Linked DNA regions of Callithrix jacchus. The protein of the gene in region 1 interacts with the protein of each later gene in a biochemical or structural test. Links are inferred from orthologs where the notes say so. Each region holds a gene or a part of one and is shown in the gene's direction. Other genes may lie near its edges. The genes, in order: MYB and NLK.

Region 1 (9,288 bases):
TTTTTTTGCTTTAACACATCGTGTTTTAAATTTTTGTAATTCTTGTTCAGAAGTTGTTTAGTGCCTTTTGTTGACAGTGGAATCAGAACTAGGCTATTGTTTCGACGCACAGACACTAGATGAAAGGGATTATTACAGATTATAAACATACATTTCCTGGGATTTTATTTGGTGGTGGTGGTGGTGTTTTAAATTTGGATTGCGTCATGTCATTATGAAACCTGGACTATCAGATTGTTGCTTAAAATAATAGTTTTAAATTATGAGAATCCCCAATTCAGGATTTTTGATAAGCACTTTAGCTTGACTTGTAGGGGGCTGGTAATATGTGTATATGAGTTAGTTTGGGAAGAAAAACCTGTCATGAATATAACTTTTCATTTTAAAAACAATGGATTATATTACGATATTGCTTTACATCATTTTTTTATTGGTCTCGGTTTGATGGGTTTCTCAACATTGCAATGACAAATTTTAGTGAAGGTTCTAAGATAGTATTTTTCCTATTTAAGTCTTACAAGAAAAACTATAAAACAAACTGTGTCTGTAAAATTATTGTCATCTAATCAGTATATGATTAGTAAACAGTAAGCACAGAGTTACTTTAAAAGTCATCAAATTTCCTAGGTTTGGTTAACTAAAAAAGAGAAAAAGCTCTTTTGAAAATAGTAATGGGTTCTTTTAAATCCATGGATTTCTTCTGGGGAAATCCCTTAGTTCTGAATTAGGTCACATTTTATAGTATTTCAAACACCGTTCTGTCAGAGACAGAAAAAGCAAAAGAGTAAGTAAGACTCTGACTAACAGGTGGCCTAATTATTCACTTAGTTACTCTAGAAACTAAGTATTGTAAACATGGGCACAACTTGGATCAACTAGGCCCGGAGTTGTGAGCAATTTGGTATTAATTTTATTTACAAAACACTGAAGTTTGATCACTCATGTTCTTATCTTTCCTTAGGTTTTAAAATCCTTTCCTCTTAGATTCTCCTAATCTTCTAGACTTTATGGGATGACTATAATTATGTTTGGGGGTGTATTGCTTCTTGATTTTTTTCTTCTTTTAATAAAACAAAAGCCCCATTGAAATAACATAATTGAATTGTTTATTATGTTTGAGAAATATTTAAACAATGTGACAAATGCCAAAGATTTTGAGTGTGTACTTAAAGAAAGGACACGGGTTCTCGTTCCTTTTCTTGTCCTTAACCTTAAGTTTTGAACTTCATTGGCTGGAAGGTGGCCAAATGTGTAACTTGTCCCTGGTCTAACAGTAACAGCAGGTTCAGACATGCAGGGGAATAGGAAGGTGCCAGGTCCTTGACTGTATCTGTGGATACCCATAACAGCAGAACCAGTTTACAATACTAGAGCAACAGAATGCAGCAAACAATCTTGTTGTGCAAGTTTGCAAAGTTTTACCTTTGTAACCTTTGAAAAGATTATTGAGTTTTTGTGGAAGTTTTGTAATCCAGTAGTAGTCTAAATCCTCATGTTTCAGCCCACATCTGCCCATTCCTATTTCTGCAGCATATATAGCAGTGACGAGGATGATGAGGACTTTGAGATGTGTGATCATGACTATGATGGGCTGCTTCCCAAGTCTGGAAAGCGTCACTTGGGGAAAACAAGGTGGACTCGGGAAGAGGTAACTGATCATTTTATCAAAACATGGAAAACAGATAGAGTGTATAATTTATACAAAACAGAATTTCAACTAAACTACAGGTGCTCCAGCTCGTTAGCAGGCTCTTTGATATCTTATCCTAGCCTGCATGTACAGCGTGCCTTACACCCCGCCCCCAATTATATTATCCATTTCCACACTATTTGCAGTTCTTTGAATGTCGTCTTCTTCTTCTCATTTTAGACTTCGTCTATGTTTCCTTCTGCCTGTTGAGTTCTCATTCTTTTGTCCCATCTCTTCTTCCTGCTTTTACATTGCCTATGAAGGCATCACCTCTTCTGTGAAGCCACCCCTGGCTTCACTGGGAAGGACTGGATGCATCCTCCTGTGAGCCCATGCATGAGTGCATGTTCTGCTTTATTGTTGCTGGGACATAGATGCCTCCTCTAGCTGACTGCAAGTCTGTTGAGGGCAGGACTCAACATCTATTCACTTTTTTTTTCCTTTTTTCACATATATATATATATATATATATATATATATATATTTTTTTTTTTTTTTTTTTTTTTTTTGAGGGGCCGGAGTTTCACTCTTGTTACCCAGGCCAGAGTGCAATGGCATGATCTTGGCTCACTGCAGCCTCGGCCTCCTGGGTTCAGGCAATTCTCCTGCCTCAGCCTCCCGAGTAGCTGGGACTACAGGCCTGCACCACCATGCCCAGCTAAAATGTCTGTTAATCTTTGTGTTTCCTGAACTCACAAGTGCTTGACCCAAAGTAGGATATTAATAAATGTTCTCTGAATAGTGAATGACTTACTTTCCCTAAAACAAAATAGACAAAAGGATACTCAGAGAACTCATCTTTTTACAATGTATTCATTTAAGATCTTTGATATATTTCACAGAGCCATATATATGAAGGTATGCTCTAAAAGCGTCCAGTAATGGATGAAGACACATCTGCTTCCCCTGTTTCTTTTTCGGCTAGCTTGTCAAAAGTTTGATTTTGTAGGAATGGAAAAATACTTCAGAAGCAAAATTAATAATATGTGGAGAAAAGTTTCTCTAATGTTCTTAGACATTTTTGCAACTAATTTTAGATGATTCTTGTTACAATAAATGGTATTGGCTCATCTTCAGTTTCACTGTGCTCTGCTTCATTTAAACCAGAGCTCCTTTTGACAGGCAGGTAGGATTCCCAGAGGGGTCCATAGGAAATTCACATTTTACCTATTAAGCATGTGCACTTGGTTAATCCTTGTGCTCTGGAAATTCTGTTGTCCCCATTGGCTTCCTAATTCTTGTGTATGGTATGGTACCAGGGACCTTCGTTGTGTATGAATGTTACCTTTGCAGAAATATAAGAAGGAATACATTTTTTAAAGACACTTATGAACTGGTAGGTTATGAACAGCATATAAACTAAAAGAACTGATTACCTGCAAATGTTGAGTGTCTTTTATGTTCTAACACATTTGGCCTCATTTATATTGTGAATATATTGGTGCAAAAACTAAATGATTTTATTTAGTCTTCAAGTTTAATTTTAAAAATGATCTTCATTTCTGTATAAAGGGTTAAAATAACTGGAAATATTCTATTTCTTGCTCAAGATTTTATTTATTGCTGTAGGTAAATATGTACTGAATAAAGCATTGGCATGCATTTTTCCCCACAGAGTAAAGCAGTTATTTGTATATTAAACACACACTATATGCCAGGCATTATGATAAGTGTTTGCAAAATTGCCTCATATAATCCCCAAATAACCCTGTTAATATCAGCCTCATGTTAATAAATTGCCTCATTTAATCCCCAAATAACCCTGTTAATTTCCATTTTATAGATGGCAATACTAAGGCACAGAAAGGGAAAATGATAAACCCACTTTACACAATCAGTAGTGGAGTCAAGATGCCAAACTCTGGTCTGACTAAATATATGCTCCCAAGTCAGTATATTACATTAATACCTGCTGTATTTGGATACTTTTGAGAGATTTTCTATTCTGGATTCGTTCCCTCATTCACTTTAACTTGAACAGAGTTATATAGTAAATGACTGATATCCTAGGATTACCTTTAAATGTCATAGGATGAAAAACTAAAGAAGCTGGTGGAACAGAATGGAACAGATGACTGGAAAGTTATTGCCAATTTTCTCCCGGTAAGCTAGTAACTTTTTCTTATTACAAAAGGAAAGCTTCTCCCAGTGATTTCTATAAAATATTCTAGGAGGGGTTATTAAGATAGTATATTATTTGCTCACATTTAAGAAGTAGGAGAAATGCCTTACCCATAACTTACATTTTATATTATAATGCATATAATTGGGATTTCTAAATTGATTATTGGAATTTAGATTATTAGAATCAATTATTATAATTTAGATTGTTGAATTTTAAAAACAATTGCTTCTTGTTTTATCTTTTCATGTATAGGTTAATTTGTATTTCGATAATTTGTTACGTGGTAGATGATTAAACTTGTTCTTTCCTCCAAGTCAGTTTTTCCTGAATTCCCTGTTTTTGTCAATAGCAATACTTTTGGCACCAGGGTTTAAAATTCTGGAGACCTTTCTTAACTTAGTGCATACCCCCAACCCCTACATCCAAGCAGTTACTAAGGATCCTGGAATTCCTTTATAGTCAATCCCGTCCTTTACATTCTCATGGCTGTGCTGAAGGTTGGGCTTCTGCCTTCTCATTTGGACTATCATACAACTTCCTAACTAGCTTCCCCACTTGTAGTTTTCCATTTTTCTTTCTTTCTCTTTTTTTTTTTTTGAAATGGAGACTAGCTTTGTCACCTAGGCTGCAGTGCAGAAGCACAGTCTCGGCTCACTGCAACCTCCACCTTAGCTGGGATTACAGGCACCTGCCACCACACCTGGCTAATTTTTGTATTTGTAGTAGAGACAAGGTTTCACGATGTTGGTCAGGCTGGTTTCAAACTCCTGACCTCAAGTGATCCACCCACCTCAGCCTCCCAAAGTGCTGGGATTACAGGTGTGAGCCACCGTGCCTGGCCAGTTTTCTACTTTTCCATCCATCCCAAACACCATTGGCAGGTGGGACTTCCTAAAATGCAGCTGTACCTTATCTTTTCAAAACGAACCACAGTGACTTAGAACTCACAAATTAAGTAAACTGCCTTGACCTGGCACATAGAGGCCCTCCTCTATTGCCCCAACTTCTAGCTCCAGTTCTGTTTCCTACTTCCTCTCTGTAAGCAGGTTTGCTTGAATTTATTTCTGCTTTCCCTCCTCTGGGCTTTTGCTCCTGGTGTTCCCACCTCCTAGAATGTTCTCCTTTTACATCACCAATTAAAGTTTTGTTCATCCTTCAAAGTCCTTATGAAGAGCTCTTCCAGACTCCTCTCAAGGAAACCATTTCACCTCCTAAGAAGATGCTTCTCTCCTCACTTCAGTATCATTTTGCTTTGGTCTTTTCTTCCATATGAATCAAATTCAGCCTCTGTGATAATCAGTCATCTATTTGTCTTTTCCCTCTTAAAAGATTACAAGCTCCTGTAACATAGGAACTGTCTTTTATGGATCTTTATTCCTTCTGCAATATAAATACCGTGGTCCTGAACTGAAGCACATCTCTTGTTGGAATGGGAAGCAAACTTTAGTCATTTAGGGTGGGTTTCCATGAAAGCCTGACAATGTAGAATCTCTATCAAGCCTTAGGCCATGTAGATACTCTGCAGATGTATCTCAGGTTAAGGTTAAGTTGACAGGTGCGTGTGTAGTATGATGGTCCTTTGGTTCATGCGGCAGGACTGTTTCCCTCAGGAGGCAGAATGTATAATCTTAGAGCAACTTTGATGGATTACTTGCATGTTCTGTAGTCTGTAAATAATGAGGGATAGGTGAGCTCTAAGCATGCTCTAAAATGTTCTTAAATATTTTCACGGCATATGGTCTGTGTGTGACTCTGTGACAACAATGAATTCATGTGCTTATCACTTCATATCTTTATGGTACTCTGTTTGTCTAGAATCGAACGGATGTGCAGTGCCAGCACCGATGGCAGAAAGTATTAAACCCTGAGCTCATCAAGGGTCCTTGGACCAAAGAAGAAGATCAGAGAGTAAGTTCTTTCTTCATTGGTGTGTGAATCATAATTAAGAATATTCCCCAAATGCTGAATTTTTTCTGTTTGAGGAAGCAGGTAAAATGGGCAAACAGGAAGTAGAGGACTCTCTTCCCATATTTCCAATGAATGAAAGCAAATTTTGGAAATTTTCTAAAGATCTTGTAACACTGAAGAATGAATATACTAACTCATTACATAACATTAAAACATAGGTTATTTTTGTGTGTTTATCTGAAGGTGATAGAGCTTGTACAGAAATACGGTCCGAAACGTTGGTCTGTTATTGCCAAGCACTTAAAGGGGAGAATTGGAAAACAATGTAGGGAGAGGTGGCATAACCACTTGAATCCAGAAGTTAAGAAAACCTCCTGGACAGAAGAGGAAGACAGAATTATTTACCAGGCACACAAGAGACTGGGGAACAGATGGGCAGAAATCGCAAAGCTACTGCCTGGACGGTAATAATATGTCAAAAAAATATATTGATCGGGAAGAATGAGGGAGTGGGTATTGGACATTCTGCTTAAAATGTATGGTGAGTGAATTAAATTTCATCAGTCGTAAGTGTTTTATTAGATAGCCCAGCTACATAGCTTTTAGAGACTGAAGACATCTTAGAGTTTATTTGGTTGAGAACTTTCGGGATCCACCTGACAGTGAGCCCAGGGTAAAGACATTTAACTCTCCCCAATTTCCCTATTTCCAAAATGACTCACACCAGGGCCAGTGTTAGGATCAAGTGAAATGAATGTCAAAGGACTTGGTAAATTATAAAACTCTAAATGCATAGAAAGAAACTGAAGGCAGTTTGTCTCTGGCTGAGTTCACATAGCTGGTTAAGTGACTCAGAGGAACTCAGCCACCATTTTCCTGATAACCATCATTCTTTTTTTTTTTTTTTTGAGACAGGGTCTTGCTCTGTCACCCAGGCTGGAGTGCAGTGGTGCAATCTTGGCTCACTGTAATCTCTGCCTCCCGAGTTCAAGCAATTCTCCTGCCTCAGCCTCCTGAGTAGCTGGGACTACAGGCACATGCCACCATGCCCAGTTCATTTTTGGATTAGCTGGGGTTTCACCCTGTTGGCCAGGATGGTCTCAATCTCCTGACCTCTTGATCCACCTGCCTCGGCCTCCCAAAGTCCTGAAATTACAGGCGTGAGCCACGGCACCCGGCCTTGTTCATTTCTTTAATTTTTTTTTTTTTAAGAGACAGAGGCTTCTTCTGTCACACAGGCTGGAGTGCAGGGGCATGAGCATAGCTCAATACATCCTTGAACTCCTGGGCTCAAGGGATCCTTTCACCTCAGCCTCTTGAGTAGCTAGGCCTACAGGTGCACGCCACTACACCCAACTGATTTTAAAACACTTTTGTAGAGTTGATCTTACTGTGTTGCCCTGGCTGGTCTCAAACTCCTGGCCTCAAGCAATCCTTTTGCCTCCCAAAGTGCTGAGATTATAGGCATGGGCCACTGTACCTGGCCACCAATATTCATTTTATTATACCACTTTGCTTAATTTTTTACTCCATTGATTAAAGAAATAAGGTATTTCTCGAATTCTCATACTACTTCAAGGATTTTAAATGTCAATATAATAATGCTTTCTTTTTAATGAACAAGGCAAAGAAATGACCTCATTATGAGAGATAACTATGGAAGCTCATTTTTGTCCCATTTTCCCACTTAAATAGTATATAACAGATTTTGTTACTCTGGAAAGCAGTACTTTTAATGATAAATTTTGCATAAAAATGATACAGATAGAAAATATTAAAAATAGTTTTATTCTTGAGCTTCATAATCCAGGAGAAAGTTTATGTAGTATTCTCCAGTGATGCTCCAATGCATTTGCACCCTCGTGGTTCAGTATAAACTTAGAAAATTCAAGAGGTTGGTAAAAAGAGGTCTTCATTCCCATATGGCCTCAGAGGATACACTGCTGATTCTTCTCAAAATTAACAAGGCTATCGAACTTCCTCTTTCTTTAGCATGCATTCCCCCACCCCCATTGAAATAGTAAAAGGGAGGCTTAAACGGTTTTTTTGAATTGAGAAACTGTTTTTCCTGAGAATGGAAAGACTTTAGTAAAAAGGCGTTGCTGTTTGAAACTATACTGCGGGGGTTAGGATCTTTCCCTTGGGAATGCCATTTTCCACCCTCATCTCTGTCTGATTGGAATAACAATTGGGGTGGTTTTTAAAGGGTAGGAGGTTTTTTGGTCTCAAAAGTTCTTGCTAGTCCTTCGAGAGATAAAGAGTGAAGTATTCTTCATCAGCAGCATCTTATCACCCACCAAACTTCACCGTGTCCCTATTGTGGTGTGTAGGCCCTGCTGTGCTGCATTCAAAGAAGGAATTTCTTCAAAGCAGCTGGAACTTCACATTGTGTTAGAGTCTTGTACCACAAACGGTCAGAATAATTATGAAGCGTCATTGTATTGAAAATACTCCTTTACCAAGGAAATGAAATGGTTAAAAGATACTGACATTTCTAGAAAACGATGTGCATTCCAGATTGTGTAACTAAGAGAAATCTATGGATTTCTAACAAGGCAATAGAGAAAGCCTGATCTTAGGGGGTGGAGAAGAAGAAAACCATTAAAAAGGGGGAAAACTATGACTGGGCCCAAGGGAAAGGTCTGTGTTAGAAACAGTTTTCTGTCAATTCACTTTAATCTGAATTGAAATTTTTTGTTTGTGAAATTTGTATGTGATATATTTCTGTGCAGAACTGATAATGCTATCAAGAACCACTGGAATTCTACAATGCGTCGGAAGGTCGAACAGGAAGGTTATCTGCAGGACTCTTCAAAAGCCAGCCAGCCAGCAGTGGCCACAAGCTTCCAGAAGAACAGTCATTTGATGGGTTTTGCTCAGGCTCCACCTACAGCTCAACTCCCTGCAACTGGCCAGCCCTCCGTTAACAATGACTATTCCTATTACCACATTTCTGAAGCACAAAATGTAAGCCATTCTTGAGAATCTGGTTTAATGAGAGAGATGGTTAATTTAGCTCCAGGTAGTAATCATATTTTGCAGTTGTATACTGTTCAGAGAACCTTCCTGGGCATGATCATGGCCAGTCGTCTTCAACTTTCCTGGGCATGATCATGAGGTAGATAGGGTGTAGATATTGTTTGTTATCACTGGTTTATGTCTTCAGAAATGAAGATGGTAAGTGCTTTGCTCAGGGTGACATAGAGATAGTGTTGACTAGAATTCTAACTTGCTGCTTCAAATCTAATTTGAAGGTAACCTTTGAATGTAAATGTACTTAAGGTACGGTTGAAGAATAAGGGAATGGAGTTGCATTTGTAGATGTAACACTTTTCTCTACCAAAACCAAAAGGAAAGATATATTTAAAGATATATTTAAAGAGTTTGACAGTGAAATTCAGTGGTTATGGTATATTCAGTTCTGGTAATGATCTAGCAGACATGTCTTGATTTATTCACTCAGTAAGTGTTTACCCTCTTATTCTAAGTCAGGAGCAGAACTTTGTGACATTCATTTTCTGATGCCTCCTCTTAGTCTCCTTTGGATCAGTGTGATCCCTTCCTT
Region 2 (9,807 bases), on another chromosome or scaffold:
CTGCACTCAGCAATTCAGGCAAATCTGTAGCAAGTGTCTTCTCCTTTTTCGAGCACTGTCCTAAAGAACTGGGCATACAACATGGAGTGAGACAGACAAGCTCTCTGTCCTGGTCAAATTCAACAAGCAATTAAAATATAGAATATGAGGGAAGCAGTGTCATGGAGATATACAACAGAAACATATACTCTAGAACAGAGTTAGAGAGAACTTTCCAGGAATAAAAGTAAAATTTACATGAAGACCTGAGGGATGAATTAGAGGAGTGGAGGGTGGGTGGGAAGTGTTTTGGGCTGAAGATATGCATGAATGCTTGAAAGCATACAAGGAGCTGCAGGAAGTTCAAAATGTCTGAAATGTAGAGGGTGGAGGAGAGAGATAAGACCCTTGAGATAGGTAGCAGGAACCAGATCATTGCCAGACTATTTAGGGATTCAGCCAGACTTTTTTTTTTTTTTGAGGCACGATCTTACTGTCACCCATGTCACCCAGGCTGGAGTGCACTTGTGGGATCTCAGCTAACTGTGGCCTCTACCTCCCTGGCTCATGTTATCCTCCCACCTCAGCCTCCACAGTAGCTGGGACTAGAGACATGTGTACCACACACTCCGCTAATTTTTGTATTTTTTGTAGACATAGGGTTTTGCTGCATTGCCTGGATTGATCTCGAGCTCCTGAGCTCAAGGGATACACCCACCTTGGCCTCACGAAGCGCTGGGATTACAGGTGTGAGCACTTCACCTGCAATCAGGTCTCAGATTTGAATTATTTTATTTTATTATTATTATTTTTTAAGACAGGGTTTCACCATGTTGGTTAGGCTGGTCTTGAACTCCCGACCTCAATTGATCTGCCCACCTTGGCCTCCTAAGTGCTTGAATTACAGGCATGAGGCACCACGCCCAGTCAGATTTCCATTTTTCAAAGTTTATTATGCTCCCTAGAGGGATGGATCAAAGCAGAGCTAGCTTGTAGGCAGGGAAGTCGTTAAAGATGCTAGTGGTGTAAATTTGGGTAAATGCTGTGTGACTGGGAAGAAGCAGAAGTGAGGGAGATTTAAAATTGTTTAAGACTTGGTGATTCAGCCTGGGCAACATGCAAAACCCCATCTTTACAAAAAAAAAACCAAAAACAATAATTAGCTGGGTTGGTAGAGCATGCTGCAGTCCCAGCTACTTCGGAGGCTGAGGTGGGAGGATCACCTGAGCCCAAGAGGTGGAGGCTGCAGTGAGCAGTGGTCACACCACTGCAGTCCAGACTGGGCATCAGAGATCTTGTCTCAGAAAACAAAACAAAACAAAACAAAAAAGACTTGATGATTGATTGATTGGAAGGGACAATGTGGACAGGCAAAGGAGGGATTGAAGATGACCTCCAAGTTTCTGAGTAGGGATAAGTTTCTGTAAGCTTATTATTTTACATTTAAAAGAAGGATAAATTCAGATAAGTGAAGTGATGTAAAGGAAACATGCTATTTTAGTAAGCTTTCAATGACAGAAACTTACTTGATAGAAAATATGGAAGAGACTAGGGGTGGTGGCTCATGCCTGTAATTCCAGAAATTTGGGAGGCCGAGGTGGGAGACAGGAGGATCTCTTGAGCCTAAGAATTTGAGACCAGTCTGGGCAACATATTGAGACCGTGTTTCTAAAGACTTAAAGAATCAGCCGGTCATGGGGGTGCACATCTGTAATCCCAACTATCTGGGAGGCTGAGGCAGGAAGATTACTTGAACCAGGAACTGGAGGCTGCATTGATTTAGGACTGCACTACTGCAGTCCAGCTTAGGTGACAGAATGCGACCCTGTTAAGAAAGAAAGATGAAAGAAAATTGTCATTTTTGTGGTCAAGTTTACTTTTAAAAATTTGCACCAACAGCTTTATCATCTGTTGACAATGGGTTTCTGAATGTTGGAGATTCCTCCACTTTTTGCCAACATCAGGATTAACCATGGAGGACCAGCCGTAGACTATGAACTGTCAGTCTACTGAGTTTCTTTTGTAACTATCTTCTTGTTGGGTGACCTTGCACCTTGAGTTTCCGAAGCTCAACATTCCCTTTTTCTTTTCTTTCTTTCTTTCTTTTTTTTTTTTTTTGAGACAGAGTCTTGCTCTGTCGCCAGGCTGGAATGCAGTAGCGCAATCTCGGCTCACTGCAACCTCCACCTCCCGGGTTCAAGCGATTCTTCCGCCTCAGCCTCCCGAGTAGCTGGGACCACAGGTGTGTGCCAAAAGCCCGGCTAATTTTTGTATTTTTAGTAGAGACGGGGTTTCACCATGTTGACCAAGATGGTCTCGATCTCTTAACCTCGTGATCCACCCTCCTCGGCTTCCCAAAGTGCTGGAATTACAGGTGTGAGCCACCGCGCCTGGCCTCAGACATTCCCTTTTTCTTTCCCTATTTCTTTCCTCACACTTTACATATTAAATGGGATATTAGACAGCACAGATCAATGGACCAGTGATTTGGACTCCGCCTTCTTCATCTAGGTCCCGCCCACTTCAAGACCCCACCCCTTTCCCCAAGTCCTGCCCCTTGAAGAGGTTGTCTCATTATGACAGCAAATTCTCCACAATCCTGTTCTATAGGAGAGCTAAAGGGCGGGACTTACATCAATCTTTTATTTCCATTTGTCAAGTCAAGTGTCTATCTGGCCCAGGTTCTATCCCCCTTCATTTTCAACCCAAGGATTGGTTGCTCTGTTCTTTGTCTCCGGCTCATGATTGGTTCTTTCATTCTGCCCCTCTCTTCCAGCTTTTGCAGGCGGGATTAGCACGCAGCTTCCTGCTCCTGCCAAAAAAAATAAATAAATAAATAAAAGAAGAAAAAGAAAAGAGAGGCGAGAGAAAAATGTCACAAAGATCTTTGGTTTTGAATTGGCTTTACGCTTTGTCGGTCAAGCCAAAGTCTCTCTTTGATTGGTCTTTCTATCTGCCCATCCCGCATCGGGGGCGGGATTTCCCCAGAAGACCCACACCTTGTTGCCACTGGCCGAACAGTGCGCCTGTCTGAAGCTAATGGTCCAGGATTGGAGGCAGTTGCGGACAGGTGGGCGTGGATTGGCTAGGGCAGCCGGTCAGTGCAAGGCGGGGGCGGGGCCTCGGCGGCTGGTTGCGCGTGTCCGCCGCTGGCTCCGCTCTATCCGGCTTTGCTAGGGGAGGTGAGTCCGGCCGCGGCGGCACCGGCGGCTGAGGAGGCGGCGGCTGAGGAGAAAGTGGCCGCGGCGGCTGAGGAGAAAGCGGCCGCGGGGACGGAAGCTGGGTGGGGGGGAGGGGGGGAGACGGAGCAGCCTTGAGCCCTGCGGGGCCGTCGCGCGGGGGACCCACCCGCTCTCCCCCCCAACCCTCAGCAGAAGCAGCCGGCGGCGGGGGCAGGAGTCAGCCCGCTTCCGACCGTACCCCGCCCGCCTCCCGGGGCTCCTATTCTTTGGCCCCGGGACCCTAACCTTCTCCCGGGGCGGTTCCCTCTGTCTGGGCGTCCGAGCTCTGCCCACCTCTTTCATTCCTCCCTGCACCTCCTTCCCTTCACTTTTGCCCCGGCTCGCTCTTCTCTCTGTCCTGCTGTCGCCTTCTCTCCACACTCCAGCCTCCTTTCCTGGCTCATTCTGCCCAGGAAAGTTTAGAACCCCCCGCCCCCCCCTCCCCAATCAGGTCAACCTGACTAGGAATAGGGGGAGATGTAGGAAGGCCTGAGAGTTCGAGGGGGGGGAAGCTGGAAGCTGGAAGCTGGTTTCCCAGATAATTTCCCCCTATCTTCTCCATTTAGGGTGGTGGGAATTTTTTTTAATCGTGTTTTTGAGGAGGTGGTAGGTGTTTAGAAAAGGATGTGGGAATGGAAGGGGTAGATGAGTCAACCTTCTTTCAAGATTCCAAGGGTGGTGTGTTACCAGATCCTTTTCGTGTGTGGAGTTCAGGGGGTCGGGAGGTTTGGCCTTTATTCCCACATTCAAAGTTGGAACCTCCCCCGAATTAAGAATGGAGTTTTAGTACCCACTTGTGGCAGGAATCCTGGGGGGAAGGGGTCCTTTTTTCCTTTTTCTTTTCTTTTTTCTTTTTTTCCTTTTTTTCCTTTTGGCAGTCCACACCCTTCCACACACGCTCACCCCAAAATTAAAACACCAAGATCCTCTTAACTTGTTTGGATTGACTGATGAAGACATAAAGCCAGTTACGCTCTATGTTTTTTGAGGGGGAGTGAGTGGTTTTTCTTCATTTTTAAATGGCCAAATGACAGCTTGACCCAGTTTGCTTTCCAATCAAAGGGCATTTATTTTGAATGTCTCTTTGTGGCGCAAGAGCCAACGCAAAAATGATGGCGGCTTACAATGGCGGTACATCTGCAGCAGCAGCAGGTCACCACCACCACCATCACCACCACCTTCCACACCTCCCACCTCCTCACCTGCACCACCACCACCACCCTCAACACCATCTTCATCCGGGGTCAGCTGCCGCTGTACACCCTGTACAGCAGCACACCTCTTCGGCAGCTGCGGCAGCCGCAGCAGCGGCTGCAGCTGCAGCCATGTTAAACCCTGGGCAACAACAGCCATATTTCCCATCACCGGCACCGGGGCAGGCTCCTGGACCAGCTGCAGCAGCCCCAGCTCAGGTACAGGCTGCCGCAGCTGCTACAGTTAAGGCGCATCATCATCAGCACTCGCATCATCCACAACAACAGCTGGATATTGAACCGGATAGACCTATTGGATATGGAGCCTTTGGTGTTGTCTGGTGAGTATCAAAAGAAGAACACAACCTCTCATGGTTTCTTCTGATGGTTGCGATTGGGTGATTCCATCCCTTATGGTTTTCTCCATGTTGACCAAGGTGGAGCAAGCTTCTCAACCCAACTGCGGGAAGCCACCCTCATTACGTGGTAAAGAGGCCTCATGCATCGGCTGTCTAGGCTCATGGCAAGTTTTGGTGGATCACCGTCTAATGAGCAACACACATAAGTTTGTTGTCTACCAAACTTTTCTGTTAGAACCTAAGCAAGCTACTGAACACAGGATCAGTAGATGAATGTATGGAATACTAATTCCTACAGAGGTCTTGGTCATCTCATGTGTTTGATTTCTTTTGGATCAGTTGCCCAATGGGATTAAGCGTTAGCAACTGATCCAGACTCAATTCCTTTATAATACTCTTGTCCTTAGGATATACTTTGTGTAACTTTCTTATCCTTTCTGTCATTTCACTCCTTACTTTGTGATCTTGATTGCCAGAAGAAAGGGAGGATTCATAGTTGAACCAGTTAAGATCATTGCTTGAGTGGTTTTATTTTAAACCATAAAGCTACGGTTGGGAAGTATGTAGCTTTAGCCTTTTGATAAGAATGCATTAAATATAGCATCACACATGAGTACCACAAATGAGGTTAGTAGACTAGCTATGCAGTGGCCCACATTCCGTGTAATGTTTTAGTGTCATTTAGTGCCTCTTAAGTTGCTGTTATCTGTTGGTCAGTTGCTATAGTAGGAAATATACTTTTTAAACAAATGACACTACTTTTGCTAGTGCTAGGATATTTGTAAAAGTCTAAGGGCTTCTTAAAACATGATCTATTCGGTTTAACCTTAAAAGGATTAGTAGTTTATAATAAGATATGTTTGTTCCTATCAAAACTAGAATGAACTGTTTTCTCCCAAGGACTGATGATTGCACTTTGGATAGATGAATTGATATTTTCAGTGCATTCAAAATTGATTCTTGTTACTATCTAAAAAGCCCCCATTACTACAGGCAAATGAACTCTTTGGAACTAGCCTGGTAAATATCCCCTTTTGTCATTGTTTTTGAGGCTAAAAATGATAGGCACATCGTTTATGCATTTTAACTTGCCATCGTATTTATATTTCAGATTTGATAATCTAGGCTACTAAGTGATCTCATCATTTTTTAAACTAGTAGTGTCTGGTGTTTGCTCAGCTAGTCTGCAAGGAAGTTTCTGCTGCAGCATGGTCCTTTCTCCAAGGTGTGTGGGATTCCAGGTGGGAAAGAGCATAGCTGGTAATGGTGCCTCTCTGTCATTTTGCTCAGGGACCTGCCTGTTCCTGCTTTCCTCTCTTCTCTTCCATAGACTGTCTCAGAGATTTTACTGTGAATTTCCTATCCTTGCCTAATTCTTGAGGATTTCCAAGCTTTGGTTGGGGGATGGAGCAAACAGGAAAATTTAAATTTTCCTGTTCCTTGGTTTAAATTTTGTCATTGATTTACTAATAACTTTTAGCACTTGTTTGGATCTTCTTAGATCTGGATGCTTGCTTGCTTTTTTAGTGCCTTATGTGCAATGTTAAAAACTAGGGATACTGAAAGGGTTGCAGCATTCTTGAATATATTCTAAAGGCATTTTTCACTTACATGTCTATCAAAAAGTGATGTAACTTGTAGCAGTTTTCACTTCAAGTTGGTGGCAAGAGAAGATTTTTAAACTTTATTATTTTTAAGAAAGGGGCAATAAAGAACTGGAGTACTGAAACATCTCACACAGCAAACATTTTGCTAGTGGGTACTGTGAATCACTGATATCTGAAAGCCCAAATGTATTTGATTTGAATCCATTTTCAAGTTCTTTAATTGATTGACTGCTCTAAGACCTATGGTGTTTGTCTCATGTACTTAAAGTACTGCTTTAAGTACCATCTTATTTCAGGTTTGCCGTGTGTCACTGAGTACATTCGTAAGCCCCTTGAGGGTAAGGATTGTCTATTGTAGTAATCCTTTTCTTCTTGGCACCTAGCACAGTGCTTTAGCATCTATACTGCTTGGTTAATTGATCTAGTAAGGTCCTTCCTTGATTTGACTTAAACAACAGAAAATTATCTATCATAGTTCTGGAGGCTAGATATCCAAGATTTAGGTGCAGGCTTGGTTTTTTTTGAGGCCTCTCTTCTTGGCTTGTAGATGGCCACCCTCTCTGCGTCCTCACGTGATTTGTGTCTTTTTTTTTTTAACCAAGTTTTTCTAGTTAACTGCATTGAGTGTTTTCATCAGCTATTACAGTTGAAATACAATTTGGTATGAAAAAGGAAAGAGTTTCAGGTGTATGTTTTATATGCAAATACTTTCCTATTTTTATATTTACATGTCGGTGACTTCCTGTCTGAATTGCTTATTAGATTTGAAATTTAACTGTTGTATGACCTAAGTAAGACTGTTTAGAGATTTGAAAACCAAACTACAGGTACTAGTTTTCTGGAACCCAAGGTAAAGGTATTACTGAATTTTATTTTATTTTTTTACTTTTTAATTAAAAAGAATTTTTGTTTTTAACTTAGAAAGCACCTTATGAATTGGAAACAACTTTTTTTCTAAAATGATTAAAATGGAACGTAAAGATTTTCTCCCAGTGATACATCATTTGATTCAAACCACCATATAACTAACTACCTGGGTATTATAAGATTCATTTAATTCAAATATATATTCATTTAATGCGTTTTGCAAGTATCCTTCTGGCATAGCATATGACAAGAAACTGTATTTGCCTTCATTTCCTTGGGGACATACACCCAGCAGTACTAACTGATGGCTACAAAAGCAGCATGCAATTTTGAGAGGGATTGTTGTTTTTCCATGTAGACAAGGAGAGATATTTGTAGAAGTGATGCAGCATTTTACCAGATTTATCACTGAACAATTCAGTCAAGCTGACTTTTATTTATCTTGCTGAATTTAACTAGTGGACTAACTTATCAGTATTGGACAGTTGTGTAAAATAGTGAATTACTCATTAGCTTGCTGGTAAAGATGGTGCTATGACAGTTCAATTAAGGTTTCATTAACAACTGTCTGCTGTATTTTATCTCAAAGTAAGAGTTCCAGTTTACCTGGTAATGTGATTGTGGGATAGCCTGAGATACATTTGTTGCCACTGATAGAATGTTGTTTATGGGTTATCAAAATGTCATATATAATTTGACTGTCTTTATGAAACTCAGCTTCCAAACACCCACAGGGACATTTTCATAATGCAAAAACAAAACAAAACAACCCACGAATAGTAACTTCAATCACTTGGTCAGTGTAATATAAATCTTCCTTTTTGTCTGTAGTTCACATTTGCCAGAGGAAAATGCTTTGGGACAAAGAATTTCAGGGGCTCATGAAGTATATAATGTTGAAAGTTGGAGGAAGTTAACCACCTGAGAGTGGTTTGAGGGCCACTACACCTAGGCAGTTTTGTCATTGGCCACTTAACATATCAGAGATGGAGTTAATGACACATATTGCCACCTTGGTAAAAGTGAGTCTGGGAAAAGCTATTTTGTAAAATTAGCGTTTTGGTTTGTAACTTACCTGATTAATTAAAAGATCAAAAAGCCTGGGATTCACCTGCGCTTTTGCCTTTTTGTGTACTCCAAGTAATGCTGGAGGTCTTTGAATTTTATTATCCTAATAACTTCAACAGGTTACTTTTATCTTTCAAAACTATAGTGGTAGTTACTTACTAGCTCTGTGATCTTGATAAATTATTTGACCTCTCTGTTCCTCATCTATAAAAGGGGGATAATAGTAGTACTTAGCTCAGAATTGGTGTGAAAATTAAGTGAGGTAATTCTTGTAAACCAAGGAGTACACTGTCTAGCACACAGTAAGCATCAATAAGTGTTAGCTGTTTTTATTGTAGTTATTGTTGGTAGAAAAATCAAGCTGTTGTGTTAACATGCAATGAAGTGTCTTCATAGATTGTCAGATTTATCAGGTGAAATCAGCGTGCAGACTATTTTTGGAGGCATGACTCTAAATAACATAGCGTGTCCCCTCAGTTGTACTGTATGCCAGGGAGATTAAAAAAAGGTTGAATTTAAAGCCAAGGGAAAAATACTCTGTGCTGTCCTGTCAAATTAATTACAAACAAAAATAATACACATTTGTATGGACTTTATAGGTGTTCTTGTCAGATCATTTGAACTCTTTTAAAAAGTATTATGAATTTATATAAAGGGAAGAAATTAATTTTTTCTTTTCAGAATGTAACAAATGAAAGACATCCTTTTTGTCAAAGTTCAGCTTTAGTAGAAATTTACTTTGCTTATGTTTGGATGAAAACATATGAATTGCTAAAGATCCCAGTGAGGTGGGAGAAATATACTGATTTAACAAAAAAATTATTCAGTATAAACCCTTGTGCATGGTGGAGATTGTCTAGCTTACTCATCTTGTGAAAATGACAGGCATTATGTTTTCTCTGGTCTTCTTACTCCACATAGCAAACTGTAATTTAGAAAAATGGAGAATGCTTTTAGAATATGTTTAGGGAAAATCCTGGAGTAAGTTGCATCAGAAAGAGTAGTGTGCTAAAGTGTATTTTGTTATTAACTGTGTTTTACAGGTTAAGAATCTGTAGTATTGAGAAGTTTCTCCACTATCAGCCAAGATTAACAGCCACAGCTGGATTCTTTGGGGGGGTATGCTTTGTCGAAAGAGCTTTGAAGAAGCAGAGCCTGTACCATAAAAAGGAAACGGTTGCTCTTCTAGACATAACAAAGCATCCGTGTGAAACTAGAAATGTGGAAATCTGTATTGTTAATTTTAACTACAAACGAATTTACTTTTAGAAACTGCAGGTTCATGATCATAAAGTAGAGGAAGCAAGAGTAGAGAATAAAACTAACAGTCTAATGATACTGCACCCACTTCTTGGTGGTTGAAACTCCACAGCCTGTAACACTGCAAGTCGTTTTGTAGTTAGACTCCTGAAAAGATTATCCAAATTATGTTCAAAAAGCAAAACAAAGTCACAGCACAAAAAATAAACTTGTTTTATTCTTGGGGAGAAATTTTATGTTATACTGTCAAATA

What was found.
Region 2: of the proteins of MYB (region 1) and NLK, one has a biochemical effect on the other in vitro, tested with the Homo sapiens proteins (2 studies listed by BioGRID, with this or other methods). The link is inferred for Callithrix jacchus from reciprocal best matches to the Homo sapiens genes MYB and NLK.

The regions. Positions count from the first base shown.
Region 1 is NC_133505.1:141,906,516-141,915,803, forward strand, and holds part of MYB (transcriptional activator Myb), read left to right. Parts: intron 1-1,530; coding exon 1,531-1,648; intron 1,649-3,721; coding exon 3,722-3,793; intron 3,794-5,630; coding exon 5,631-5,723; intron 5,724-5,966; coding exon 5,967-6,187; intron 6,188-8,455; coding exon 8,456-8,690; intron 8,691-9,288. UniProt on the Homo sapiens protein: Transcriptional activator; DNA-binding protein that specifically recognize the sequence 5'-YAAC[GT]G-3'. Plays an important role in the control of proliferation and differentiation of hematopoietic progenitor cells.
Region 2 is NC_133506.1:105,503,209-105,513,015, reverse strand, and holds the start of NLK (serine/threonine-protein kinase NLK), read left to right. Parts: upstream 1-3,141; 5' UTR 3,142-4,276; coding exon 4,277-4,734; intron 4,735-9,807. UniProt on the Homo sapiens protein: Serine/threonine-protein kinase that regulates a number of transcription factors with key roles in cell fate determination. Positive effector of the non-canonical Wnt signaling pathway, acting downstream of WNT5A, MAP3K7/TAK1 and HIPK2.